4 linked regions of the Diceros bicornis minor genome follow. Each later gene encodes a partner of the first gene's protein in a complex. Links are inferred from orthologs where the notes say so. Each region holds a gene or a part of one and is shown on either strand. Other genes may lie near its edges. The genes, in order: NUP93, CETN2, NUP58 and NUP54.

Region 1 (7,236 bases):
TATATTGCACGTGAGGGCCAAGGACATTCGATTGGGAAAAGCTTAATGAATTCTGGCCTACTGACATTGTAACAAGCGTGCTAGATGAGCTGCTAAAGGATTCAAGTGATGCCTGCATCCTTCAGGATTATTTTGATTGCAAGTGACAGAAAACCCAACTGAAAGTGAGGAAAACATGCACTTTTTTTTCTCATGCAACAGAACATTCCAGGAATAGGTTTAGCTTTAGCTTGATCCAGAAACACAATATACTGGATTCTAGCCTCTCTCTACATCACTGCATTGCTCTGTTCTGTAACGGCTTTGTTCCCAAGCAAGTTCTTCCCTCATGGCTAATAAACAATCAAAGTTTTAAAAGGTTAATTTCAGGGAGTGAGAACTTCTGTGAAAACACCTTCACAGTTCTAATTCCAGTGGTAAAGAGAACAATTGTCTGAGTGGAACATCTTGAGAGTGAATTTTCTTAAGTCATAGACCCATCCCCGAATCAGCCCTGTGGCCAGGGTACTGGAGTACTCTGATTGGCTAGGCCTGAGTCACATGCCACCAATCAAAATACAGGGACTGAGAGTAGGGGAGGGGCGGGTCGGCAAAGGGGAGCCAGGGTGCTGAACAGCAGATGTCCACTAGAGACCCACTGTCCAGTAATACAGTCTAGTGTACTGGATGCCCATCCCATATACTTAACGAGTTAATCTGAAGACTAAGGATATCTGACAGTGCTCCAATTCAACCAGACAAGAGTGCAAAGATTTGCATTTTTTAACGTGACCATGCAGGCAAAAAAGGTAAAGTTATGTACTTGGCATGTACATAACACATGCAAAATCTCTGCTATATGTAAGTGCTCCACCAAAGATTTCCTTTGAAAAAAGAGTTTTATTGGTAAAGAGTGTTTGGAAACCAACAGCGCAAATTGGGGGAGTTAAGGATTCCCTGCTGCTCCCCAGATCTCTTTTAAGCAGGAAAGAACGTGCAATTCCCCGACTCGGAGAAAGCGCAAGTCTTACGGGGACCCTGGAGCACACTTCAGGACAAGCCTCAGACAATGGTGCTTGGTAAGTTCTGAGCTCAGTTAAAAAGCGATGTTGGAGAAAACTCTTCTAAACTGTATAATTAATTAATAGACAGAAACAGCTCCACAAATCACACCGATACAGACCTTGTTGTCAGGAGAAAGAAACTCTTGTTTTTGTAGCATTTGGACAAGAAGACCATTCAAGGAGTGGGGTTGGAGGTAAGTTTGGAATCCTCAAAGGAAATTCTTTGGATTATATACCTGGGTAAATATTGGGAAGCTGATGTTTGTTTTAACTCTTGTGCAAACAAAATGAAAAAACAAGTTTTAGTTATTTTTTCTGATTATAGGAGCAATGCATGGTCATTTCACTGCAGAAACTATGAAAAGTGCACTAGCTTTTCAGGGCTTGCCTGTGCTTCCAACCACCCAGGAGAGACTCTGTCCCCGTCTTATCATATTTCCTTCTCTTTTTCTCTCTCTAATGTGTATTTTTAACAAAGTTGAAGTTACAGTTATATTGTTCTGCTTTTTTCCCCTTCTTGGTCATTTTATCCTTTATTATTTAAAAATATTATTTTACACATACAAAATTATTTATATGTAATATATATGTAATAGTGATTCATAATATAACCAACACCTATGAACCAACTACCCAACCCAAGAACTAGAACATATCCAATACCTTACATCTTCCCAGGTGGTCCTCCCCATATCCCTTCCTATCCCTAGAGATAATTACAATCTGTAATTTCCTATTTATCATTCTGATGTTTTATAGTTTTATCACAAATGTATCTATGCATAAACAATATATTGTTTAGTTTTACTTGCTTTTTAATTTTATTAGGAATTTTGAGCTCATATTATACTATATAGTCTTCTGACATTTGCTTTTTCCACGTAACATTATATTTCCAAGATCCACCCATGTTGTGTTTGTAGCTGTAGCACACTCATTTTTCTTTGTTGTGTAATATGCCATTGTGATAATATCCACAATTTATCCTTTTTCTGTTAATGGACATTTGGCTTGTTTTTTTGCTATTATGAACTGTGCTGCTATGAAGATTCTTGCAAATATCTCCTGGTGCACATGTGTAAGAGTTTCTCTTGAGCATATTTCTAGGAGTAGAATTGCTGGGTTTTACGATATGGAAATATCCAGCTTTAAAAGGTAAGTGTCCTGATTTTTCATTTGGCAATGTTTCATGAATATTTGTCTATGTCATTAAAAATTCTTCTTTACATAAAAGAAAAAGCAAGGTAAAAGGATAAAACATTATGCAGATGCAAGACTATTATATTTGTGAATATTGTCTGACCACAGCAGGCTCTGAATACATATTTAATAGCTTTAGGACAAAGGCCACACCCATACATATTGTCAATCAGCACCAATAATTTATACAGAACCCACAATATGCTAGTGTGAAGTGTTCAAGATAAACAAAGCTGGACACTAAAGTGGTAAGACCATATTTTAATCAGTAATATACTATTGCAATAGGGAAGAGTCCAGCAGGAACTGAACTCAACTTGGATTTGTACAGAGGTGACTGGGTGTTTCAAAGGGAGAATGAGAGAACAGGGAAGGGGGTGAGCTACACAGAGTCAGGGAAGTGAAAAATTACAAAAAGTGAGAAGGAAATGTTGGTCCACATGAAACCATCTGGGTTTGCTAACTGGCGATTATAGAAGTTAGGCTCCTACTCTCCCACAGAGGCTGGGAGACAGGGGCCCCATCTTCAGATATTGGCCAGAACAAACAGTAAATTCTTCTGGCAGCCTAGAGTTTTCTCAGTCAGGTACTTTAAGAGGGGCTAGGGTCACCTAGGGATACGACCTTGAGCTGTTAGAAACTATGTTAGTGTTTTGTTCAAGTCTTTATAGACCATGGTTGAGGCCTAGAAGAGAAAATGGCTCAGAGGAGCCTGGCTAGAGTTCTGTCAAGGAGGGAATCTTTGTTAGAGGATAGAGGAAAGACGTGGTGAGGGTGGGCAGAGCACTGTTCCTCTCCTCTCTACCTCTGCTTACTCCATTCCCTAGACCAGGAAAAACCTTCCCTCTCTCTTTGCTAGGCTAATCGCTACTCATCCTTATGGCTCAGTTAAGGTGTCACTTCCCCCAGGGAAGGTCTCCTTGACTTCCAACCCTCCAGACTGGGTTAAACTCCCTTAGCATCCTTACATAGCTCTGTCGTGCACTTAGCACATTACACTGAAATAAAATCTGTTTATGTACTTGCTTCCTGACCTGATGATAAGGACTGGGCCTTATTCATTTTGGGACGTTGTGAGCACTAATGTATGTTGCATGAATGGACATTGTGACACTCCTGGTCCCACTATCTTTATGTGCTGGACAAAGCAGTAATCTCCTAGTGCCACTCTGCTGCCTACTCTCCATTCTCCAACTAGAGGGCTAGGAGGATCTTTTACAAAGGTAAGTCACACCTCGTGTCATACCTCTGCTTCAAACCCTCCAGTGGCTTCCATTTGCATGAAGAATAACTTCAACTTTCTTGCCATGGCCTGAAGCACCTGCAAAGTCTGGCCCCAGCCAACTGTGAGTCTTACCCCACCTGTCCTCATTCATCCTCTGCCGGCCATATGCCCCTTCTTTCTATTCTTCAAACAACAAGTTTGTTTCCCTGAGGAGCCTTCATTCCTGTTCCCTCTGCTTGGAATGTTCCACAGCCACGACTTTGCAAGACTGACCCTTTCTCATCATTCATATTTCAGTGGAGACGTTGTCACCTCCTCAGAGAGGCCTTCCCTGACCACACAGGCATTCTCTTTTCCATCACCCTGCTTTTTTCGTCTTAGCTCTCCTTACAAACTGGCAGTTATTTATTATATTTTTCCCCCCACCAGCCTGAGAACTCCATTAAGTCAGGGATCTTGTCTGTCGTGGTCGCCACTGTGCCCCCAGCGCCTAGAATAGTGCCTGGCACTGGGATGGTATTCAATAAAGGGTAAGAAATCATTGCAGGCAGTTCTGGAATCACTTTCTCCAAGCAGGGCCGACTCTAACCACGTGGGAGGGGTGAGGGCTGTGGCCTCTGGCATGCCGTGAGTGACTGCTCAGCCGCAGGCCCCGCCCCCAGCCCCGCCCTTGTCCTTGTCCTCCTCCACAGGTCTCCATAAAGTTCATTTGGCGGCGCGCCGCGCGGGGGCTTCTGGGAGCGGCCGCCTCGGCCAATCAGGAAGCGCGGGCGAGCGGCGCGAGAAGTGGCGGCGGTGTTCTCCGGCCGGGACCCCAGCGGCGGAGGCGGCTGCGGTGCCAGGTAAGGGTGAGCTGGCCGCGTCCTTCGACCCGGGACTTGCCCTTGAACCCCGGGCCCCGACGTGGGCGGAGCCGGGTCCCCACGCTCGGAGCCATGCTGCTCACACTTCCCGTTCGCCTCATGGCAGCCGGGCACGCGTGACGCCGGCGACGCGGCGCCCTGGCGAACCGCCCCCCGTTATAGCGCGGGCCGCGCCCCGGAGTGCCTTCCGTCTGCCCTCGTTCTGGGTCCGGAGCCCGGGCCTCCCGACTCCCCTCTCCCGGCGCTGGAGCGCTCTGCCGCGGCGCGCCACGCCCCCACCCTTCCCCTGCTCTGCGAGCCCACCATCCCCACCACGACCTTCTGGTTACCTGCCGACCGCGCCCTGCTGGCTCGCTCGCCCCTCGGGGGTACACCTTGTCCGGAGGTGTTGCCCTCCGAGGGAAGGGGTCTTTAGGGCGAGGGCGACGACGCTGTGAGCCTCTCCCAGCCCTTGGCCTGGCTCCTCTACCAGCATCCGGGGGAATGCTCTTCCCCATCCAGGGAGATGCTAGTGATTAGAACCCGCAGGTGGCCTGCACTTTCTCGGGCCCACAGCACCCCACCTTCTGCAAAGACAGTGCCCAAGTTTACGGGGTCTCGTTTTTTAGCGCAGGGGTCTTTGGTCAAAGTTTAGGCGACCCTTTGACAGAGCCGCTGCTCTGGGTTTGCCCCTCTGTCAGGTGTGAGGAGAGTTTTTTTTTTTTCTGTTTTGGCCGAAATGTCTTTCAGCATACGAGGGTCACCTTTAGTATTCTGTCTGGGGGCGTGAGAGGGTGTCCTTGGGCATCGTAGCTTTTCTTTCGTTCCGCTCTTCTCCTTTGTGCGTTTGTTTGGAACGTTTTCATATTTCATTCATGGTAATCTCATCGAGGCTCATAGTTTTAAATACCTACATATTAGGCTAACATCTCATATTTATATCTCCAGCCTGGCTCTCTCCCTTCACCTGCAGCCAGCTGCCTGCTTGATATCTCCACTGGGATGGTTGATGGGAACTCAAACTGACGATGTCAAGATAGGGCTAGCAAGCCCTCCCCCCCATCCCCCTTCCCAAACTGCTCTTCTTGCTGGTTTTTTCTCATCTCAGTAATATAAAAGGCTTTGGCCAATAACCTTTGAGTCATCCTTGCCCCTGCTGTCTGTCTCACTCCACCTGCAATGATTGCCGCCCTGGGCCAAGTCACCACCACCTCTCACCTGGATTATTGAAATAGTCTCCCATCTGGTGCCTTGGCCCCTCTTCAGCACAGCAGCTAGAAGGATCCTTTTAAAACACAGGTCAGATCGTATCACTCTTTTACTCAAAAAATCCTCCAATGGGTCCCTCGTTTAAAGACAAACTCTTTACAGTGAGCTATAAGGCTTTACATAATCTGACCCACTGTTACTTTCCCACTCTCCTTTTCTGCTACCCCCCCCTTCCGCATGTCAGACATGCTTCAGCCTCAGGGCCTTTGCGCCTGCAGTTCAATATCTATGTGGTTTACATCCTCACTTCTTTGAGGTTTTTAGTCAGGGGTCACCTAGTGAGGCTGTCCCCACTTCCTGCCTTCCTTTACTGCTTTAGTTGTTGTTCTTAGCACTTATATTTTACTTACGTATATTGTGTGTTGTTGGTCTTCCCCTCTAGAATGTGAAGGGGGGCTTTTTGTCTGTTTTTTTCCCTGGTGTATCCCCAGCACCTAGATCTGGAACACAGTAGGTGCTCAATAAATATGAAATAAATGCATGTTTCTGGCGCCGTTACAGGCTTGGGGATACAGTGGTGAATGAGACAGGCCTGCCCTCATTGAACCGTTGTTCCTGTGGAGGACACCACCAGCAGTAAACACACAGGTATAGAATGTAGTGTCAGGACTGTTTTTTAAAGGAGAAGGATATCAGAACAGAGACCTGGTTGAAATGAGACAGCAAGTCATGGGAATGTCTGGGGCAGGAGCATTCTGGAAGGGGAAGAGCAAGTACAAAGACCCTGAGGTGGGATCAGCTGGAGATGTAGTGAACTTGAATGTCTGAACCTGCTTCTTGATGGACTGAAGTAGAAAATAAGGTAGAGGGAAAGATGCCAAGAAGAGTGAGGAGTGAGAGCAAAGACCTGGAGGTAAGGGCCTGAGGTGTGTTCAGGGAACAGGTCGCTTTAATTCAGGAAATATTTATTTGTTACTTGTTATATGCCTCTTAGCAGCTGAGGATTCAGTGTTGAGCAGTCTGTGGGCCTTACCCTATAGGAATTCTCCATGTGCAGAGAGAGACAGATGTGGCAAGAAATCATCACAACTCTTCCACTGGAGAAGCACAGTAGTAGGTTCAGAATAGTGTGAGAGGGGTTTGAGGTAGGTGGGACTGCCCCAGCTGACTTTGCAACATACATAGGAGTCCCCCATGTGACAAGGTAGGTTTGGGTATGTGTTACAGCAGAGTGTGCACCTGCATGTGCAGGGGTATGAAGGGAGGAAACAGCATGAGGCACCCCAAGGAGTAGTGAATTGCTAGGGTATATTTGGGGGGAAGGCAGTAAGAGATGAGGATGGTAGGGGTGGCAGTGCCCGTTCTTTGGAGGGCACCCCGTGTAGCCGTGTCAAGGTGCAAGCACTTCCTCCTGTAGGGGATGGAAGGTGTCCCTGAGAGGATTAAGGCAGGGGAGCATTTCAGAAAGACCTCTCCTGCCCAGGGGAAGGTGGGTTAGAGGAATGAGAAGGCTTAGACTGTTGAGATAATCAGGCGAAAAGCATGCGAGTCAGAATAGGGGCGAGAGAGATGAGGGTTCAACTTTACAAAATGTTTGAGAGGTAGACCTGGAGATTGGCTGGATGTTAAGGAGAGGAAGGGGAGCCTGAGGTGACTCCCAGGTGGTTGCTGGCTGAATTGAGTGGGTGCTGATTGTTTTACCAAGAGAGTCTGGGAA
Region 2 (7,564 bases), on another chromosome or scaffold:
CCAGCACTGGGGTCTCAAACACTGTGACCGCTCCAACCCAATTCCACACCTCGAGTTACACACACACAGTCATGTGTCCTTGTAGGAACCAAAATGGCCTTGAAACAGACGTCCTCAATGTCTGATGGGGCAATTTTGGGGAAACATATTTCTGAAACCATAATGGAAGCTATCAGGAAATATATTTCAAAACTTCTTTTCATAGACCTTTTCAGAATGCATATAATGAATAAGCAAAGTTGACCTGGAGTTCTATGCCTATCCCCTCCCTCTCTCTATCCCATAATCCTCCTTGTGTTGACAGGGGGCCCTGTCATCTGTTCACCCTAAACAGATGTGACTGGTGAGCTCTGACTCACTGGGCTCAGTGTGTACCAGCTGGGGAACAAGAATTTCGGCACTTGCACCGAGGTCCAGCAAACAGAGTGCGCTAGCAGTTCTGTCTGCCTTGTTCACCACTGTATCTCATCATGAACACAGTGCCTGGCACAAACTGAGCACCCACATCTCCACTGGCCCCATGAGTACATGGCGTGTGCACATGCCAGGCAGACTCCCTTCTGCTCTCCACCACATACACACAGACGCCTGCCTAAGATGCTACATTCATGAATACCCACTGCCGGCTTCTCACTCAATTTCTCCAGATACTCAGGGAAGCATGATGAAATGAGAGGGCAGACAGCATTTGGAGTGATGCAGTCACAAGCCAAGGACACCCTGACTTCAGACTTCTGGTCTCCAGAACTGTAAGAGGATAAGTTTCTGTTGTTTTTAGCTACCAAGTTTGTGGTCATTTGTTACAGCAGTCACATGAAATCAACACAAGTTTTCTTTGCAGTCCTGAACTCCAAATAGCACAGCTGCCACTTCCATAGCCCCCCTGTACTAGTAGAAAAGCAAGAAGCCTTAAAGCCTGCTCTCCGCAGTCTCTCGGGGATGATCCGGGAGGTGAAAGAAGAACCCATCCTGCCCCTGTGGATCCATACTGTTCAAACAATGCTCACGCGATCCTCAGCAAAGCAGCCTCTTGTAAGAACAAAATCAAATCTGCTTTATCTCGAGTTATACACACATTGTAGTAAAGTTTGTAAATACTATAAGCCAGATAAGAATTTTGGTGATACTTAGCCATCTCTAAGGAATAAGGCAGATCCCACTGGCACCCCTCAACCTAAATCCCCCATGTGCTACACGGTAGGGATAAAATGCACATCAAGAAGAGCTCTGATTGAATAGACATTTCTCCAAAAAATATATACTTTACACATGGCCAACGAGCACATGAAAAGATGCTTAACATCACTAATCATTAGGGAAATGTAAATCAAAACCACAATGAGATATCACTTCATACCCATTAGGATGGCTATTATCAAAAAAACCCAGAAAATAGAAAATAACAAGTGTTGACAAGGATATAGAGAAACTGGAACCCTTGTTCACTGCTGGTGGGAATGTAGAATGGTGCAGCTGCTGTGGGAAACAGTACGGTGGTCCCTCAAAAAATTAAATATAGAATAATCATAGGATCAAACAATCCACCAAACAATATCCCCCAAAATTGAAAGCAAGGATTTGAACAGATATTTTTACACCCATGTTCACGGCAGCACTATTCACAGAAGCCAAAAGGTGGAAGCAACCCAAGTGTCCATCGACGGATGAATGGATAAGATGTGGTATACACACACACACACACACACACACACACACACACACACAATGGAATACTACTTAGCCATAAAAAAGATGAAATCATACCATTTGTGACAACATAGATAGACCTTGAGGATATTATGCTAAGCAAAATAAGTCAGATGGAGAAGGTCAAACACTGTATGATTTCATTCATACATGGAAGATAAACAAACACATAGATAAGGAGAATAGATTGGTGGTTACCAGAGGGTAAGGTGGTGGGGGGAGGGTGAAAAGGGTAAAGGGACATAAATGTATGGGTGACAGATGGAGATCAGACTTGGTGGTGAACACGATGCAATCTATACAGAAGCTGAAATATAATGATGTACACAATGTTATAAACCAATGTGACCTCAATAAAATAATAAAAAGTAAAAAAAAAGCAAATGTGGTATATACATATAATAGAATACTATTCAGCCTCAAAAAAGAAGGGAATTCTGCAATATGCAACAGCATGGATGAACCTCAAGGACATTATGTTTAGTGAAATAAGAACCTTGGGGACATTATGCTAAGTGGAAGAAGCCAGTCATGAAAGGACAGATACTGTATGATTTCACTTGTATGAGGTCCCTAGAGTAGTCAACTGAGAGACAGAATGTAGGATGGTGGGTCCCAGGGGCTGGGGGAGAGGGAGGAGGAGTTAGTGTTTAGCAGGTATAGAGTTTCAGTTCTACAAGATGAAAGAGTTTTGGGGATGGATGCACAGCAATGTAATTGTACTTGACGCCCCTGAACTGTATACCTACAAATGGTTCAGATGGTCAATTTTCAGTTCTGTCTATTTTACCACACATACACACATAGCTCTGAATGGGAAAATAAGACCTCAAAGAGCATGTTCTAGGGGCTGGGATCGTTAAGGTTCACACATCGGAAGCCTCAAGTCTTTTTCCTTTAAAACAGTAGGTCTTTGAATCCATTAGAAACCAGTATGTACGCCCTCTATACACACTGGGACAAAGTCTTAGGCTAAAAATGACCTAGGAAAAGAGACCCACATTCTAATGGTGAAATCCAAGTGCCTCGCTCAACTTCTGGGCAAGGGGAAGAGGGCTGCTGATAGGATTCGATGAATAGAGAAGTGAGTGAGCCCAACTCCTCCTTCCTGCTGGGGAAAGTTCCCTGCCACTGAGTCCTGGAGACAAAAGGAAGGGATAGTCTGTCCATTTCAAACCAGATATATATAGAGAGAGACACTCAAGTGTTCTCTTCTTCAAAAACATGGGAGATCAGCCTCTTTGTAAATGGAAATGCAGAGCAATTCAGAGGGGTGTGTTGGGGTAGCTGGGGCCCTGCCTGCTGCCTTCCATGGAGTCAGTGCGGGAAGCTAAAATGTGGCTACTGCAAGCTCATCACTTTAGTCCATGGACAGACAACATCTGCCTGTGCAAGAAAAATGCAAAGAGGACTTAAGACAAAACGCACTTCCCCCAGGACTCAATCAGCTCAACCTTGTCTTTTCATGGACCTGTGGGCCTCTCTGCTTGTCTGTTTACTTTTAGGACACAGAAAGGCCCTGGCTTTGAATTTGTGCTGGCCACTGAGAAACTCATCAGCATCCTGCGAGCTTTAGCTAATGCTGTTCCCTCTGCCTGGAATATCTTCCCCTCCTCTCCATGGTGAGTTTCTCCTCATCCTTCAAGGCCTAGCTCAACTGTCACCTCTGTGAGACCTCGTCCCCCTCCCCAGGCAAGGTTAGCTGCCTCCTTAGCACTCATTTCTGCTCCCATTCTGACACTTAGCACGCTGGTTTATACTTTTTTTCCACGTCTGTCTTGGCTCACTAGGCTGTGAGGGCCAGCAAAGAGCCTGGAACGGAGTACAGGTTGAATTGTGCTGCTGCAGCTGGCCTAAGAGGCCTCATCTGTAGAGCAGCAATCCTTCCTGCTGACCTCACAGCCGCTGTAGGGCTCAAACAAGAGACGTCCAGTGACTTTCCCAAAGTCACACAGCTGGTACACGGTCAAGGCAGAATTTGTGGTTGTTCCTTCTACTCTGGCAGGATGCCACCCCGCAGACTGACTGGGAAGTAGGGTGTGAAGGGACATGATGTTAGAAGGACTAGGAGGGGCAAAACTGGGTAGAAGGCTCAGATGCCAGGCTGAGTGTGGACTTTATTCTGCAGTCACGGGAAGCCTCTGAAGGTTTCAGAGCATGGGGGTGACCTCAGCAGAGCTGTGAGAAGCAGGAAACAGGGGGCCTACTTGCCAGTTGCTCAGCAGAGATTTACCAAGCACCCACCATGTGCCCCTCCCTACTCCAGGTACTGGAGGGCCAGCCATGAACAAAACAGAGCTGCCTGCTCTCCTGGAGCTCACCTCCTAGTGGATGGGTAATAAAGAACAAAATAAAGAAGTAAAATACACAGTAGGTTAGAAGGTGATACATACTATGGGAAAAGAGTAGAGCAAGGTGCAGGGCTTGGGGGTACTGGGGGCTGCAGTGCTAAATAGGGTGCTTAGGGTGGCTCACTGAGAAGGTGACAGTTGAGCAAAGACCTGGGGGAGGGAAAGAAGTGAACCAGTAGGCAGAAGGAACAGTAAGAGCAAAAGTTCTAAGGTAGGAAGGAGCCTGTGCATTTGAGGCCAGCAAGGAAGTGTCCCGGGGCCATAGCGAGCCAGAGGAGGAGTGGGGGTGGAGGGAGTCATGCCAAACCTTGCAGACCATGGTGAGAACTCTGGCTTCTGCTAGGTGGGAGGCTGCTGCTGAAGGCCTGAATTGGAAGAGGAGCCACAGAGGTGGAAAAGAGAAAAGAAATGGCATTCGAGGGGGAGAACTGATAGAACTTGGAGGCTGGTTAATGGGGACGGGACAGGAAAAGAAAGAGTCAAATATGACCAAAAGGTTTTCGACCTGGTTCATGCTCAAAGGGGAAGAGGGCAAAGGGCAGAAGGTCAGTGAACACTTTAATTTAACGGACACTAATAAATCTCAGGCTTTTCTCAGCCTGAGAAACTTATGCTCTGTCCCCTGCCTCCCTAAATGCTGCCCCAATGCCCAGAGGAGATGCAGGTAAGGGCTGAGAGCCACGGAGCGCTCCTACACTGCGCTGGCTGAGGAGGGCAACCCTGGACCTCCAGCTCCACTGCTGCAGCTCCATTTCAGCCACACCCTTGCACATGCCCCCTTGTAGTTCTCCAAGCACGCCTCACACTTCCAAAACTCCTCAGGGTGTCTCGACCTGGAATGCTCCTCCCTATCCGCCTTGAGTGTTTGGGTGTCAAAAAGAGTATATCTTGATGACTTCTCCCCCTCATGCTCGCTCATATTTCCTTCACTCTCTTCAAAGTCCGTTCCCCGCTCCCAGCTCACCTGCCTGGGCTGCTTTTAGCCAGGTGAGAACTAAAGTGATCCTCTCTTGGAATCTGGTCTGGGGGACAGGGCTGCTTTCGAAGAGACACCCTCAAAGATCCTCTGCTGGATTCAGCTTCTAAGTCCCAGCCGTCTGAACCTCTGCGACAATGCTCGGCCTGCCCCTTTCCTTCTCTGGATCTCAGTTGCTCCGTCAGTACAGTTTCCACTCCAACACCCAAGGTCAGGGTCTTCTCTGGCCCCTCTGACCCTAATTCTTAGGCCGGACCAGAAAGCACCCGACCCGGATCGTCCACCCAGCCCCTGGCCCTCCCGCCCTGTCGCCGACTCAAGGCAGCCTCCAAGAGCGAGGTGGCAACCCTTACTTGTCCGAAGGCGCCCTCCTGGCCGGCCTCAGACAGCACGCCCGCAGACAGCACCCACACACCTCCAGCCGCCGGCGACCACCCTTTTCGCTCTGCCGCATGAGCTGAGGATCAGCCGAGCCTCCTCCACTAAGGGGATTGGCTCGGCTTGGAGCAGGCTCAGCCAATCGGCGCTCGCGGCATGATCCTGCCCAATGAGGCCAGGTCTTGGCCGCGAGCGCACCGCCCCCCGCCCCGGCCCTGGCCTTTGTCGGGTTAGCCCCACCCACTCCAGCCCTGCGCCAATGGGGAGCGGGGGCCGCGCGCGCGGGACAGTGGGATCGGCGCCGAGTCAGTGTGTACGTCGGTTGCCGTAACAACAGGCAGCGGAGTCGGTCGGAGATGGTGAGTGCCGGCAGCCCTGTCGCGCCTGGCGGGCAGAGGCTGAGCCCTTCCTAGGCCTCGGCCTGGCCCCGCTGCCTTTGCTGCGCCGTTCTTGGCTTTGGCGCGGCCCTCCTTCCTCTGAACTCTTTCCCGGAAGAGTAGGGTAGAGACGCCCGGCGCCCTGCTGGGCCTGTGATTCGCCGCTGCCTCCCCTTCACCCACAGCCGGCCTCAACCCGCCTCTTGGGCTCCCCTGGCCTTCCCCGGCCCCCTCGGTGACCGTCAGTGGGCAAAGAAGACTCGGATTCCCCGCAGGTCTCAACGCTTCTCAGACGCTGGCCTCCTGGCCGCCTCGCTCTACCAAAGTTTCCGCACAGAGCTGGGGGGAGGTTTATTATGTTTGATTGTTAACGTGCATTTTACAATGTAAATATAGGGACATTTGCGAGACGCTTTGAGCTTCTTGGAGAAGGCACAAATGTACCGAGTGGATTGAGTTTTATTATTCGATATTGACAGGCTATACATCTTAACTTAGTAATATTTGGCCAAATCTGGAAGTAATCAGAAAGTACTTAGAGGGAACTGGAGTACCGCAAGTGGGTGTTGTAAGGACGTTTCTATAATTAGGATCCCCCAATTCAAGGAGAGCTGATCATCTGTACAGTTATCCACAGTCAGCTCCTTGGCTAGCTCTCTTTGGGGGTGATTTTCAACAAGAGATATCCAAAAGAACAATTCTTGGAAACCATAGTAAAGAAGAGAGAGGGATAGAGGTGCATGGAAAGACTCATTATTCTTTCCAGTAAACTCTATTATCTCTTCTGCTAAGCAAAGCTTTGGAATTGGTTGGTATAAACTATTTTTAAAATAGATATGGTTGTCTGTAACTTTTATGTAAAGTATGGACTAAATTGCATAATATTGTGCTTATGTGTTTGTAAAATGTCTGAAGGCCTCCAGCTTTAAGAAGGCAAACATGGCATCAACTGCCCAGCGAAAAAGGATGAGTCCTAAGCCAGAGCTTACTGAAGAGCAGAAACAGGAAATCCGAGAAGCTTTTGATCTCTTCGATGCTGATGGAACTGGGACTATAGATGTTAAGGAACTTAAGGCAAGCCCTGTGCATTCCTGCTCTGCTGCCTTGCCTTTCCTCTGCCTCTTTATCTTCTTTCCGCTCTACCCCTTTTGCCCTCTTCTCCCTCCAAAAAATAACAGGGGAGGATGCACTGTGCTCTGTTTTCCTGTTTTTACTTACTTCAAGTATTATTAAATAAAATTGAGCACAAATATCGATTTGCTTAATGTTATAGTGTTTCCTAATCATTTTAACATGATTGTGTCTGATGCTGGCTCAATAGTCTCAATGCTGTCATTTTTTGTCCCTCTAGGTTTAGATGTGCTTATTGAGATGATCCTGTTTTCGTTGTAGGTGGCAATGAGGGCACTGGGATTTGAACCCAAGAAAGAGGAGATCAAGAAAATGATCAGCGAAATTGATAAGGAAGGGACAGGAAAAATGAACTTTAGTGACTTTTTGACTGTGATGACTCAGAAAATGGTAAGTTAGCTAAAATAATCAGCATATTTTCCACCCATAATGCTGCATACATTTGAATCATGTAAGTGTCTTCACTGAAGAAAAGTTAATACAAACTGGAGAGTTCAGCTGATAAAGGATAGTATTTGTAACTGAAAATTAGGATGCTTCGGTTCTACTTAGCTTTCTTCAAGGCCACAAAGTCACAAGAAAAGTCATTTTACCCTTTGTAAAGTAGTAAAAGTACTACTGCTGTCATTTTTTGCTATTATCTT
Region 3 (7,023 bases), on another chromosome or scaffold:
GAGACCCAGCCATGTGTCTAAGTTTCAGGCAGCAGGAAAGAAGAAGGAAGAGAAAAGCCAAAGGGATGTATGCCAGGAAGTCTCATCTCACGTCTCACATTTACATCTAATCGGCCACATTTACCTGTAAAGGAAGTTGGGATATGTAGTTGTTTATCTGGTTAGTGTGCTACCTTGAAGAAAATTGGGATTTTTTTTTAAGGAAAAAGGGAGGAGTTAAAAATGGTGGCAACAAGAGAGCTTCCCTCCTTTATTTTATGCTGACATTGCCAAGTTTCTTTTCCTGATCTTCTCCTTATCCATTATCGTTATCAGGTCATGAAAGCAACTATTCATGTCTCATCCCCCACACTCACCAACAGGAAGGACATAATTTCAAAATAAATGACCACACTTTGACTTAAATATATTTAGTTTCATGGAAAACTCCCTATACTGCTTTCACTTTTCTCATTTCTTGGAGGAAACAGATCATTACTCTTCTGATCTGCTGGAAGATCAAAAGTTGGAAACACGTTTTAGCGTTAAGCTTTCTCCCTCTAACGTTTATTTTGGAAAATTTCAAAACTACAGAAAAGTTGAAAGAGTAGTACAATGAACACTCATATACCTTGCTTGTAGAGTCACAAATTGTTAACATTTTGTGACACTTTCATTATTGATCTATCTCTTTATAAATTTTGCTGTTGGATCTTTTGAAAATTTAATAGGATTTTAAGAGGAAGGACACTATCTAAATCTTTAAAGTCAATAGACTCCCTTCTGAGAATACATTCAAGATAGAGGGAAATTGGTTATATATATAGTCTCTAAAAGATAACTTCTCTCTTGGATATTTCAGAGGATCAGATCATACACATTACAGATCCCTTTAAACAGACTTGAAATTCCCACTTCCTTTCTGTTTTAGAACCTCTCGACAGATACTTCTCAAAGGGTTGTCCCAATCTGAACACACCACTGAAGCAAGCCTATTTAGATATTTCAATGCAAACTCAAATTAGAATCTTTTTACAGTGCTATTGCTTTTCAGATAATTCAGTTTGATTATGACATTAGCAATGTCATCATACAGCCGGTAAATCAGCAAAGGATGGGGTTTCTTAACAGAATTCTCACAACGTAAAAAACAAAGAGAAGCAAAGTGGCTTGCCATAGAATTTAGGATCTGAATCACTTGCTTCATTCTTGGAAAGCAGTAATTCACATAGAATTGATACACAGTTCAGGTCCCATAATCTTGAAGAGGAATATTTGGACCATCTTTTGGAATAGGATGTGTTACTCTCACTAGGTACGGAAGGTTAAGCGAAATTCCAGTGCTTCGTTGTTTTGCCTGTCTGAGTAGGCTTTAGGCTTACACAGGCATAAAGCTTATGTTATTGCCATTTTACTCTCAATTTTTCAATTGAATAACCAAATAATTTGGCTTATAGAAACTGCTTTCTTTGGAGTTTTATTTCTGTAGAACATAAGGACGTAAAGTGTTTTATTTTCTTTTCTTTTTGCTAACAGGACAAACAGAAGAAGGCAGAAAAGATGAGAAAGGGTCTTCGAGGTTCAGTCTTACACTTGGTGCATCTAGAGGCACATGGTAGATTGTACTACTGTTCAGCAAATATTCCAGTTTCTATCTCTGCAGCGCTTCTCTCTGTGGGATTTTTGGGGTTACTGCAGCATAACTTAAACTACTCTGCCAGATATAAGACAGAAGTGCCATTAAAAGACATAGGGAGCCACTTTCTATCTTCCTACCAAAATCATCTGGATCCACCTTTTTTTCCAGTCAAAAGTACCCTAGACTTTATATCTCCCGTCCTCTTATTGACTATCCTACAGTCGTCACTGATAATAGCATTCTCTCCGTCATTGAGGCTCTAAAACCCACATTATTTTATTTTTATCTTCCTGTTCAATCATTGTGAATTTTTTCTTTATAATATAGTTCAAATATGTCCCTTTTCTTTTTTGTTTTATCATTCCCATAGTGACCAACATAATATTTAAAATGCCATTTAATTTTTTAATTATACAAACACAGAGGTGGTTTATTAGTCTGCTCAGGCTGCCATAACAAAACACCACAAACTGAGTGGCTTAAACCACAGAGATTTATTTCTCACAGTTCTGCAGGCTAAGTCCAAGATCAAGGTTCCCACAGGCTCTCTTCCCAGTTTAAATAAGGCTGCCTTTAGGCTGTGTCCTCAGAGGTGGAGAAAGAAGGAAAGTGAGTTCTCTTGAGTCTCTTCTTATAAGGGAACTAATCCCATCAAGCCCCGCCCCCCCATGACCTCATCTAAACCTAATTACCTCCCAAAGGCCCCATCTCCAAGCACCATCACATTGCGGGTTACGGCTTCAACATAGGAAATTTTGGAGAGATGCAATTCAGTCCATAGCAGATGGCAACGCCCAAGCTCAACACAGGAGAAAGTGCTGCATTGAGAGGAGTTGTGAGATGTGAGGTTAGAAAGATTGGTCATATAGAGGACATTGAGTGCCAGGGTAAGGAACCACTCAGTTTTTGATCAAGGCAGTGTTGTGGTGAGAATTATGTTTTAGGAGAGAAAATCTGGTGACTGCTTATGGCATGAATTTTATTGGAAAAAACCGCAGGTAAGAAAACCATTTCCGAGAGTAATGTAACAATTCTTGATGGAAAAATGAAGACCCACATTACGATGGCAGCACCTCCAATGCACCACCGCCAGGAAACCTGTCCTGATCCTTTTGCCAGAGGGAATTGCTTCTTCAAACCCACATTTTTCTTATGTTTAAAGGTCGCTCATAGCAATCTTATATTTCGCCTTATATTCTACTTTTTTCTGTACTTTTTTTTTATCCCTTCCACTTTGCAGTTCCTCTAGTAGGTAGCACAGAGGCGACTGAGCGCTGCAAAGCCGGAGGCAGCCATCCAGGCGGAGCCCCAGAGCAAAGGCCCCAGGTCCGACACTTAACACTGCAGGATACGCTGACACTACCTGTGGACTGGACAACACCCTTTGACATCCAGGGGCTTGGCCAGTTCTGTTTGCTCAGCACCACTAACAGGACTGGCCACTCCACCCACGAAAGGACGCTCTTCTGAGCCCCCTTGGTGGCCGCCACATGAGGCTCGCAATGACTGCCCCTCACCGGCTCCGCACCCACGGAGCGCTGACGTGCTGCTCACGTCCTGGGACGGATGAGTGAACTCAAGGCATACCTCGGAGATACTGTGGTCGCTTCCACACCACAGCCGTCAAGTGAGTATCACAATAAAGCGCATCACACGAATATTTTGGTTTCCTAGTGCATGTAAAAGTTACGTTTACATTATACTAGAGTCTATTAAGTGTGCAATAGCATTACGTCTAAAAAACAATGTACATACCTTAATTGAAAACTACTTTATTGCTAACAAAAGCTAACCATCATCTGAGCCTTCAGCGAGTCACAATCCTTTTGCTAGCGGAGAGTCTTGTGAAAAACGCAGTATGTGCGAAGCTCAACAAAGCAAAGCACAACAAAACGAGTATGCCGTACTATCGATCGCTTTCCAAACCGTCAGGAACAGACACGCTCAGTCCTTCCTGGGGAACGGGTGGCACCCAACGAAAGACTGGAATCGCCCCCTTTTCTGAAAGAGGGGCTTGGACTGCTCAATAGCGCCTGCCCAACTCTGGGATTCTGCGCGTCCTTTTTTGGTAGTAAAAAAGGATATGAGCAACAGTCAAGAGTCAACGGCCATAAAGTACAAAACACCGTAGCACAGGCGCCGAGAGAAACGGCTTCGTTGGGTTTTAACCAGGCGCCCTCCCCTTAACAGAGTAGGCGGTGGCCCGACCCCACCTCTCCCAGGCTGCCTTGCGCGGCGCGCCGACCCCATCCCCGTCCCAGGGTTCCCTGCGCGGCGGGCTCGCTCCCGTGGGCTACGTGCGCGCGGCGGGCTCGCTCCCGTGGGCTACGTGCGCGCGGCGGGCGCCGGAACTCCACCCACCTGGGCCTGGTCTTGGCGGCCGCTGGGGCTGGAAGTTCCCGCCAGGCCCGGGCTGGGGGCGGGCGATGCTGCCTGGCCTGCCCCGGCTTTGAGGCGGGAGGAGCGTCCCAGACAACTTTCACCTTGCCGACCGCGCGGAGCCCCGGGCAGCCATGTCCACGGGGTTCTCCTTCGGGACCGGCACACTGGGCTCCACCACCGTGGCCGCCGGCGGGACCAGCACTGGCGGCGGTTTCTCCTTCGGGACAGGCGCGTCTAGGTAACCGCGCTTCCTCGCCTTTCCGGCCCGGGTCCTCTCCCGGGGCTCCCGGAGTGGGGAGGGGTCCCTCCTCTCTCTCTTCTCGCTGTCTCCTTCCTGGTGGGCCTGGAGAAGAAGCCTTGCCCGGCGCCAGCTTCGTAGGCGTCCCGCTCGCCGCCCTGCGCGGGCCCTCCCGGCGGCCTGGTGGGAGGAGGGCGATGGTCTGTGTGTGGTGAGGACCCCAGAACCTACGATGGTGCGGACGTTGTTCCTACCGAGCGAGGTCTGGCGGGGTGAAAGGGCCTGGATTGCACCTCTTGAGCCCTGGCGATGCGTCAGTCTTAGGCATAGAATGAATGTTGAACGAATGAATGAGACCATAGCTTATTGTGACTAAAAGACAATTAGTAGAAAATTTTAAGCAAGACAATTAAAAATTTCTCCCTGATAATTCAGATTCCAGTGCAGGTTTACGGTTTTGGACATTACAGGGCTTTAATGATTTCATGGTTATTTTAAACAAGCTTTCAAGTCTTTCTGCCTCGTGGGACCCTGTCTGTCCTTTTTTTGGTTTGTTTTAAATACTTTCTACAGTATTGGTGATAATTTTGAATAGTATAGTATGTGCAAATGAGTATATCATAAGTGAGAATGTTGTGTTGTAATGACTCACATTGTCTTTTACTTAAATTGCAAGACGTAGGTAACATATTCATCGTTTTTGTGCAACTTGCTACACCACCACTTCAGGTGGTGACAAAAATTTGGGTAGCAGAGGTCCAGAAAGAGGCAATTAAAATAGTTAGAGATCATTCTAATTATGAGACATTTGATCTTTAGAACTCAGTCTTTTGAGGATAAAACTGGAGGAGTTCATTAAATCAGGAAATGTACATAGAATGAGTTACAAGATACCTTCTGAAGCTTGAAGAATGTGGTTGTAGATTAAAAAGGCAAAAATACCTTCAGCATTGTCTGTATTAAAAGGGGTGGGGGGGTCACAGACTACACAGTCAAGTCAGAAATCTGAGAGTTTTCTGCGTAGTCAAGTCAGAAATCTGAGAGTTTTCCTTAATACCTCCGTTTCTCTCTACACACTTACTCAGCAAGGGCTGATAGTTTTAATTCTTCAGTTTCCATTTGCTTCATTTCCAGTGCTACTACCCTGTTGCAAGCTCTTATTTTTCATGGAACAAATATTTATTGCACTCCTATGTAGTAAGCTCTGTTTTACAGGGTAAGATAAATAAGAGTCCTACTCTCTTGAGGCTGACATTCTTACAAAAATACTTATGATCACTGCCAGGTGTTTAACCAGTAACCTTTCTCCTGTTTGAGGAAAACTTCTCCCACCATATCTTACTTGGATTAATTCAACGGAATCCCAATTGCTGTCTCAAAAATCTACTTTTAGGTCAATCTTTTTACCACATTGTAACCAGAGTGACTTTTTAATTCCCTTTGCCTCTCTTCAGTGATTTTCCACTATCACTGAAATGAAGTAAAAATAAATCTTACCATGATCCGCAAGATCTAAATAACCTGGAACCTCTTCAAACTCATCCTGAGTCTTTTGGGGGAAAAAAAAATAAATAACATTTACATTAACACCCAGTAGAGGCACACAAATAAGTAACTGAAACAAAGTTTCAAAGAAAGATAGTTACCGTTGCTTCGTGTGATGTCGTTTGATATTTTCTATTCTGTTCCATTTCATTTTTTTAAATGCTGGTTGTGATCTGCTAAATTGATTTTATACTCCTCTGATGAGTCCTGATCTTAGTTTAAAAAACCGTGCTCTAGCAACTTGGGCTTTTTCTCAGTTCCCCAGGTGGGCTTGGCCAAACCTCTTCCCACTTTAAGGCAATTCGTTTTGGCTTGGAATTTCCTTACTACTACCTGACCTGTATGCCAAGCTGATGCCTACTTTGGGGACACTAATGGTTGCTTCAGAGGGGTCTTTTCTGAGCTGTCAGTCTAGAGGAGGTCTCCATCCTCATAGTACTCTGTACCATAGCACTTATTACTGTAATCAGTTCGCTGTATTTTTTGTTGACTTGTTTATTGTCTGATCCCAGCAATAGAATGTAAGCTCCATGGTGGTGGAGGCCTTTTCCTACTGTTTTTCTAGTTGACAGAGTGGAGCTCAATACGTATTTGTTGAATGAATGAATGATTAATTAATCTCTTTCTCTCACTGACTAGAAACCTCCTGAGGGCAGGGCGTGAGTCTTATTTGCTACTCCATCATCAGTCCCTATGACAATACCTGGCATATGAAAAGGGCTTTAATAAATACTTGTAGAGTGACTGAGTAAATGAATTATTAGTAGTAAACTAGAACTTTACACAGGCTTTTGAAAGGCTTGGATAAACTGATAGAAGGAGAGATAGTCTAACATCTGTCCGTTGGAGTTCTGGTTTGGAGGCCTGACTTCCCTTAGCGTCATCTGGTGATTTGGTCCCTTTAGGTAAATCATTTTGGAGAAGTTACTTTCCAAGCCTCAATTGCCGCATCTGGAAAAGGGGTATAAAGCATTTACCTCAGAGAGTGATTGAATGAGATAAAGCGCGTAAAGTATTTAGCATCACATTTGGCACTTAGTAAGTGCTCAATAAATGTTAGCTATTCTGTTAGTTACTAAGTCCACATAAGGCAAGCTGGGGAAGTTAAAATAACATGCCTGACCTGCTGGAGTCCACTTGGCTTTTCTACAAGACATCCTGTTGAGGCATTGGCAGGTAATACTGGGTTGAGGCAATAATTGGTCAGGTCTGGGGTAGCTTTTGTTTTTGTTAAAGTAAG
Region 4 (6,851 bases), on another chromosome or scaffold:
GCAGAGCCATCACAGGCCTCTGCCTCACAGTTTGGCAACTCTGACAGATACACAAATTTCATTTTGAGGTAAGTCTAGAGATGAAATTATTCTCAACCATATCTAACTTGACTTATGAATGGAATGAATGCTAGTCTATCAATCTAAAATTGTTTTATGTTTTTTTCCTTATTGTCAATCTTTACCTGATTATTAATGTGGAGCCAAAAAGACTTTTAAGACAAATGTTTGAACCATTAGTGCTCTCTGAGTTATGCCGCAGGTTTCTGGGGTTCTAACTTTTAATCTCATATATTTCTGGTATAAGAGACAGAGATTCATCAATATTGTAACATAAAAGAAGAAGGAAAGAAAAACAACCCTTTGATAGTCATATACTTCTGATTTGGAAAATTACTCAAGAATAGACTATATGTTGCATGCAGGCACAACCAAATACTCTATTTACTTGTAGGTTCTATTGCAGTACTGCAAACTGTAAACATTTTGATAAAATCATCTGAAGTACTGAACACTATTCTCAATCTTTTTCATTACTCCTCATTTTCACAGAAAAACTAAGATATATTCTGAATTTCGCTACACGATAAAAACACTAGTCAGTATCTTATCATGCTCCATCGTATCAAAAACCTTTACTAGTAATAGCGGATCTGCAAGGATACAAAATTAAAAAATAAACAAGAATTTCTATCAGCCCTTTGCTGAAGGCTAAGTTAATGAACATATATAAAAGTAGTTAAAACACAGTTATATTATTACAAGTCAAAACTTAACAGTAATAACTCCAAATGAACATGAAATCAAGCAAATACCAACAGGTTTATTTATTGTTGTTTAATTACGAGCTGGGTGGCTTTGTTCGGAAACACAAATTTCAAAACAATGTTTCTGTTTTACCCAGTGCCAATTTTAAGCAAACAGGAAAAAGTAAATATACCACACGACAGTGACACTGATCACTTTAAATATATCTGAATAATAATGGATTATTTTATCTTTGGAATTTTCAAGTATTCTTTTCAATATGTTTTCAAATCAGATGCCAAGGTGATAGTCACATTGCAGTAACAAATGACTGTTCAAAATATCAGACTTCCCAGTAAGTTTTAGGGAATAAATAACGTTTACCAAATGCATAAAATTGGCATGGGCATAAGTGGCATAAGGTAAGAGAATACAGACAATAAATTCATATACGAGCAGCTGAGGAACAAGACTTTTATATAGGATCATTGTATGTAAAGTACACATAGAGCTATTTTAAATTTATATATATACACACAGTTAATGTTTTAGTTTGTTTTGCAAAATTTCCAACAAGCTTCAAACAATCCATATAGATATTAAAACCTTCGTAATTATATTTTTGAATGCAAAGATGTCTAGCCTACCTTTTAGAACTCAATGCTATCTGACAATAAATTAAACTGCTCTCTCATCATTTCTCAAAAAATCCAATAAAGAACTGGGGATTATTTCTATAATTACATATCTTATGGAAATGTATCCTAAACTGCTGAGTTCACCAAAGAAATACACTATTACTATTACACAGGTTAAAAAATAAGACAGGTTACTGCTGTTCGTATAAGACTTGTTTCTCTTGGGAAACACAAGGACAATCAAATGAAATTGCAATGAAAGATGCAGGAAAAATGAAAAAATGACTGCAGGAGTCCAAGAATCCCAGGAAAATGGGCCTGACTGCTGAGTTTATACTTTGGAAGAGATGGCTAATCGTTTGGAAGATATATTCTACTCAACATAATAATCCATTCCAAATTCTTACACTTGGAAGGTATATTCTGTTCAATTAAACGCAAATTTAACAAAGGAACATTATAACTTGCAGAAACCAAATTCAAAACCTTTAAGACAGTCAAAACTTGATACAAGTGTTTTTGATTCGACATCAGGAAGCGAATTTCCTTTCCTTATTAGACAAGTCGCTGTTCTTTCCAAAACTCGAGGAACCACAAAATATTCTTGGACTCCAGCTCCCAACATTCGTTAACACATACGACCCGCAGTATCTACCTGCACTTGCCAGACTGTTACCAAAATTGAACGGAGTCGCCGAGGTAGTAGAAACACCGAAATTCCCAATATTAAAGTTCACTGCGGGATTAGCAGTTAATCCGAAACCCCCAAAATTAAACCCACTGGCGGTGGAGTTGGCAGTCTCAAGCCCACCAAATCCTGATAGGCGTGTAGGCAAAGAAACAAACAAAATTTTAAAAGGAGGGAGGGGAAAGAAGAAAGAGAAAAGAAAGCAAGACAAGGATTAGGAGAGTCAGCAGGAGGTTGCACAGAAGTGAACAAAGACAAACCCTGACTTGCTCCAAACGAGTTAAGAAGGCGGAGGAGGCGGGAACAGGAGGAGGGAGCGGCGTGCAGTCCCGCAGCGAGGACCGGAGGGGCCAGGCCGAAGGCTCCCGCGCTCCGGGGCTGACGCCGCAGCGGGAGCCCCGCGAGCGTGCCCGCCGGCCAGGAGGCGGGAGGGCAGGGCGGCTCTACGGCCAGGGGAGAGCGGGGCCGCCGGCAGTCTCTCCGAGGCCGACTCCTCGGCGCCGGGAAGCCAGCCCTCGGAGACGGGGCTCTGCGAGGACCCACGCGCGGCGTGCGAGCCCCGGGTTGGGCCTCGAGTCCCCCCGCGGCCTCCTGAGGAGCCGCCCCGGCCCGCTCGGCCCGCCCTTTTCCGAAGCCCCTAAAAAGTCTCCGCGCGGGCAGGAGACCCCCGGAGCCTCAAGCCCGAGGGTCTCGGGCCGAAGGGGCGGGCCAGGGCCCTCCCCACTCCCCGGGGGAAGATCCGAGGCTCACTCACCCGCGGGGGCCGCGGTGGCTGCAGCGGTGCCCGAGGTGCCCGAGGGGGCCCCAAAGTTGAAGGCCATGTCGCGGGAGCAGGGGACCGAGGCGCTGCTCCCGCGACACTCGGTGCACTCCGCTTTTCGATCCGGCGTGGAAACCGCCCCCGCATCACGGAGTTCCGCCTCTTTTCTGGCCTAGCCTGAGAGGCCTTTGAACGCGCGAAAAGCGTCCGGGGTGGAGGGCGGAGAGGGAACGTCCCCCGTCCGGCTAGCTTCCGGGGGCTTTGTGGCATCACGTGGCGTGGAGCGTCAGGAGGTGAAATGCTGGGAGCTCGCGGGGACATGCAGCCTGAGAGCCAGTGACAACTGCCTGTCCCTTGGAAGAGGTGTGCGGGAGGCTGAATACTAGCGCGTAATGAACACAGGGGAGGAAAGAAAGCCAGATCCTCATCCTCCATAGTGGAGTCAGTGGATAATGCTCGCACTGAAAATTCACGGAGCAGCGTGTCATCTAGAGGGTAAATTAAAAAAAAAAAAAGGCTAAAAGAAGTGCCTCTGAGAATGATGTCTGTTTAGGTTTTTTTAATATACCAAACCTTGTAGAATTGATTCTTAAATCTATGTGCTTGTATAACTAATAAAAATGAAAACAAGCAACAAATATGCCATTGTATCTGCCAAACTTACAAATGTCCGTGGACCCAGCAATGCTACTTCTAGGAATTTATCTTATAAATGATTTGGGAAAATGATGGAATACACGATTATTTGTTACAGCATTGTTTATAATAAATGATTGGAAACAAACAAGGGTTTGCTTAAATAGTTGCATTTATACAAAGGAATACTATTCAGCCATGAAATAGGAACAGTAAAGCTCTGTATGTACTGAAAAGATCTCAAAGATAAACATTACACAAAAAACCATTTAGAACACAGTATATGGTATTCTACAATTTGGGTGGGGGAAAAAAAGAGGGCTAGAATGAATAAACACACATATTTGTATAAAATATTCCTGGGAAGATACATTAAAAATAAATAAATAACATTGGATGCCTCTGGGAAGATGAATTGGTGGCAAGGAGATGGGTGGAGGGAGACTTTGCACTCTAAATTCCTTTTATGCTTTTTGAAAATGTAAGTGGGTTAGCTATTCACAAAATTAAATAATGCTAATAGTGTAATTGCAGGAGTCCCAGTGAGAGCGCTGATACCCGGATGAGGACAGCAGGCATGGAGACTGAGGAGCAAAGGACTTGGTGATTGTTGGGATGTGGAGGGGAGGGGAAAGGAGAAGTCTAGCAAGAGTCTCTGGTTTCTGGCTTGTACAGCTGGCTAGATTGTGATGCCATTCCCCAGTAATGGGAATTTGGGAAGAAGACAAGAAAAAATGAGTTCTTTCTTTACTTACTGGATTTGAGGACAACCTGGCTGAGGATAGGCAGTAGGTGTTTGGATATGCAGGGCTGAGGTTGAACAGAGGGGCCCAGGTTTAGGCTGTAATTGACCTCAGGGAGTCAATGGGATAGTCAGGGAGAGAGGATCAAGTGGGAAGAGGTTGCAGCCAAGCACCAGCATTAAGACGAAGAGAGCAGAGAGCCATCAAGGGAGCCTGAGGGAGAGTGGCCGGAGAGACAGAAGAACCAGCAGAACGGAATCACAGAAATTATGGATGGAAGGGGAGAATGATCAGGGATGGAAAAGGATGGGTGAATATTTCTTTGATACGAAGTCTTCCCTAACCACCGTTTTTAAAATAGCACATCCCACTCCTGTCACTCTGGCTACTCTACTGTCTTAGCACTTACCACCACCTATTTATTGTCCCCCCTCCCCCCACCCCATTTAATGTAAGCTCCACGAGGGCAGGGAACTGTGTTTTATTTACTAGTTGTATCCCTAGTGCTAGCAAAGTGCCTGCCCCCATGATAGACCCGTATCCAATACTGTGGAATGAACGAATGAGTTCCATGACATGTCCTTCTCCCTTGCCTTTCCCATATTCATCTCCAAGTCCTAAATATTTTATCTTTTAAATATTTCTAAAATACCTCATCTCCACTGCCATCTCCCTAATTCAAATTACCTCAATCTCTTGCCTAGACCAGGGATCAGCAAACAGCAGCCCACGGGCCATATGTAGACTGCTGCCATTTTTGTAATGTAGTTCTACTGGAACTGACACTCCATTTGTTTATGTGTCGTCTGTGACTGCTTTCACGATACAAGTGCAGAGCTGAGTAGTTGTGACAGAGAGGCTTACAAAGCCCAAACTATTTTCTATGTGGCCTTTTACAGAAAAAGTTTGCCAACCCCTCCCTAGACTACTGCAGTAGCCCCGCAGTGCAATGAGCAGGACTGTCCGGCTATGACCTGGGCAGGTCATTCTGGGTTGCCCGGAGAATGAGCTGGCTGTGGCTGGGGGTTCCCCTTTCTCTTAGGGGAAGTGGCTGCACCCAAGCTTAGGTCCCATGAAACCAGTGTCGTCTTCACCCCAGCAGTGGAGATTGTAACATTCCCCAGGCAGCTAGCATTCTCGGACAACTTCTGTAAGCTGTTGTCACCCCAAATCCAAACTGCCTGTTGCTCAGCAGCTTTTGTATTCCTCCTCTGACAAGACTGCTTCTTCACACTTGCCCTATAAAAAGGGGGACTAGAAGGTGGCTACATTCTTCTTACCGAGACCAAACAGTGCTCTTGCCCTTGGCTTGCTTCTCCATGGGATGACAGGAGGATGGAGGGTCTGTGCCTTTTTTCTAGCTGTCCTGGCCCTACAAATTTTTATTTTCCCCAATGAAACCCATTACTTAACCCATGCTATGTGGCTTTGTGGAATTCACCCTGGAGGCTAGTGGATGACACCCAGATAAGCTCTATCTTACATGCCAACCCACCTAACACAACAGCCTCCTAACTGACCTTCCTGCATCCATGTTGACTCTCTTCCAGTTTATTCATCCTGCAGCTAGAGTGAGTCTTTCTAAACAAACCTATCCTGTCTTCCAGTCCCCCCTCCCCAACCCAATTTACAACACTTCAGTGGCTTCTCATTGGTCTTAAAATAGACCAAAATCTTTAACATGGCTTAATAAGATCCAACATTGATCTGACCCCTGCCTTTCTCTCTAGCCTTATCTCCCACTATTCTTCTCTCTCTGAACTCTAGCCAAACATTTTCTCAATCACCTGTAAACATGCTCTTGGGCACATCCTGTTTTCTCTGTCTGAAATGCTTTGCTTTGCCTAAGTAACACCTACTTTCCAGTCTCAGTCAAATCTTACTCCACTGGGGAAGCCTTCCCTCAACTCAGAGTCATGTTACCAGACTTTACATTTGTGATTTTTGGTTACTGTCTGTTTCCCCGACGAGACCATAAGATCTATATGTCTCTTTTTGGTCACCAGTAGCCTAGTTTATAGTGCCTGGCATAAAGTGGCTGCTCAATAAAATTGGTTGAACACATTATTTTTAAGTATAATGTAGAAAGAAGCTAGGCCCAAAGACCACATATTGTACAACTCTATTTATATAAAATGTCCAGAAAAGGCAAATCTATAGAGACAGAAAGTGGTTTAGTGGTTACCTCGGGCTGGGGGTGGGAATAAGGATTAACTGTAAACTGGCATGAGGGAATTTTTTTTTTTTTTTTTTTGTGAGGGAGCTCAGCCCTGAGCTAACATCCATGCCAATCCTCCCCTTGTTTTGCTGAGGAAGACTGGCCCTGAGCTAACATCCGTGCCCACCTCCACTTTATGTGGGACACCACGACAGCGTGGCCTGACAAGCCGTGTGTTGGTGCACACCCAGGATCCGAACCCTGGCCGCCAGCAGCGGAGCGCGCGCACTTAACCACTACACCACTGGGCCGGCCCCATGGTGTGAGGGATTTTATTGAGGTGATAATAAAACCGCACAACTCAGTAAATTTACTAAAAACCATTGTATTGTACATTTAAAATGGGTGAATTTTTATAGTATGTAAATTATACCTCAATAGACGTTTAAAAATAAAAAATATATTAGTTGAATAAATGAGA

What was found.
Region 2: NUP93 (region 1) and CETN2 share a complex: the UniProt entries of both Homo sapiens proteins name them as parts of the nuclear pore complex. The link is inferred for Diceros bicornis minor from reciprocal best matches to the Homo sapiens genes NUP93 and CETN2.
Region 3: NUP93 (region 1) and NUP58 share a complex: the UniProt entries of both Homo sapiens proteins name them as parts of the p62 complex. The link is inferred for Diceros bicornis minor from reciprocal best matches to the Homo sapiens genes NUP93 and NUP58.
Region 4: NUP93 (region 1) and NUP54 share a complex: the UniProt entries of both Homo sapiens proteins name them as parts of the p62 complex. The link is inferred for Diceros bicornis minor from reciprocal best matches to the Homo sapiens genes NUP93 and NUP54.

The regions. Positions count from the first base shown.
Region 1 is NC_080771.1:10,272,631-10,279,866, forward strand, and holds the start of NUP93 (nuclear pore complex protein Nup93), read left to right. Parts: upstream 1-4,216; 5' UTR 4,217-4,310; intron 4,311-6,080; exon of another isoform or gene 6,081-6,167; intron 6,168-7,236. UniProt on the Homo sapiens protein: Plays a role in the nuclear pore complex (NPC) assembly and/or maintenance. May anchor nucleoporins, but not NUP153 and TPR, to the NPC. During renal development, regulates podocyte migration and proliferation through SMAD4 signaling.
Region 2 is NC_080781.1:136,968,429-136,975,992, reverse strand, and holds the start of CETN2 (centrin-2), read left to right. Parts: upstream 1-4,543; coding exon 4,544-4,603; intron 4,604-5,022; exon of another isoform or gene 5,023-5,288; intron 5,289-5,387; exon of another isoform or gene 5,388-5,483; intron 5,484-5,591; coding exon 5,592-5,771; intron 5,772-6,704; coding exon 6,705-6,863; intron 6,864-7,181; coding exon 7,182-7,310; intron 7,311-7,564. UniProt on the Homo sapiens protein: Plays a fundamental role in microtubule organizing center structure and function. Required for centriole duplication and correct spindle formation. Has a role in regulating cytokinesis and genome stability via cooperation with CALM1 and CCP110.
Region 3 is NC_080748.1:8,794,144-8,801,166, forward strand, and holds the start of NUP58 (nucleoporin p58/p45), read left to right. Parts: upstream 1-4,010; 5' UTR 4,011-4,131; coding exon 4,132-4,238; intron 4,239-7,023. UniProt on the Homo sapiens protein: Component of the nuclear pore complex, a complex required for the trafficking across the nuclear membrane.
Region 4 is NC_080747.1:61,633,254-61,640,104, forward strand, and holds the start of NUP54 (nucleoporin p54), read right to left. Parts: upstream 3,018-6,851; 5' UTR 2,895-3,017; coding exon 2,828-2,894; intron 2,203-2,827; coding exon 2,041-2,202; intron 1-2,040. UniProt on the Homo sapiens protein: Component of the nuclear pore complex, a complex required for the trafficking across the nuclear membrane.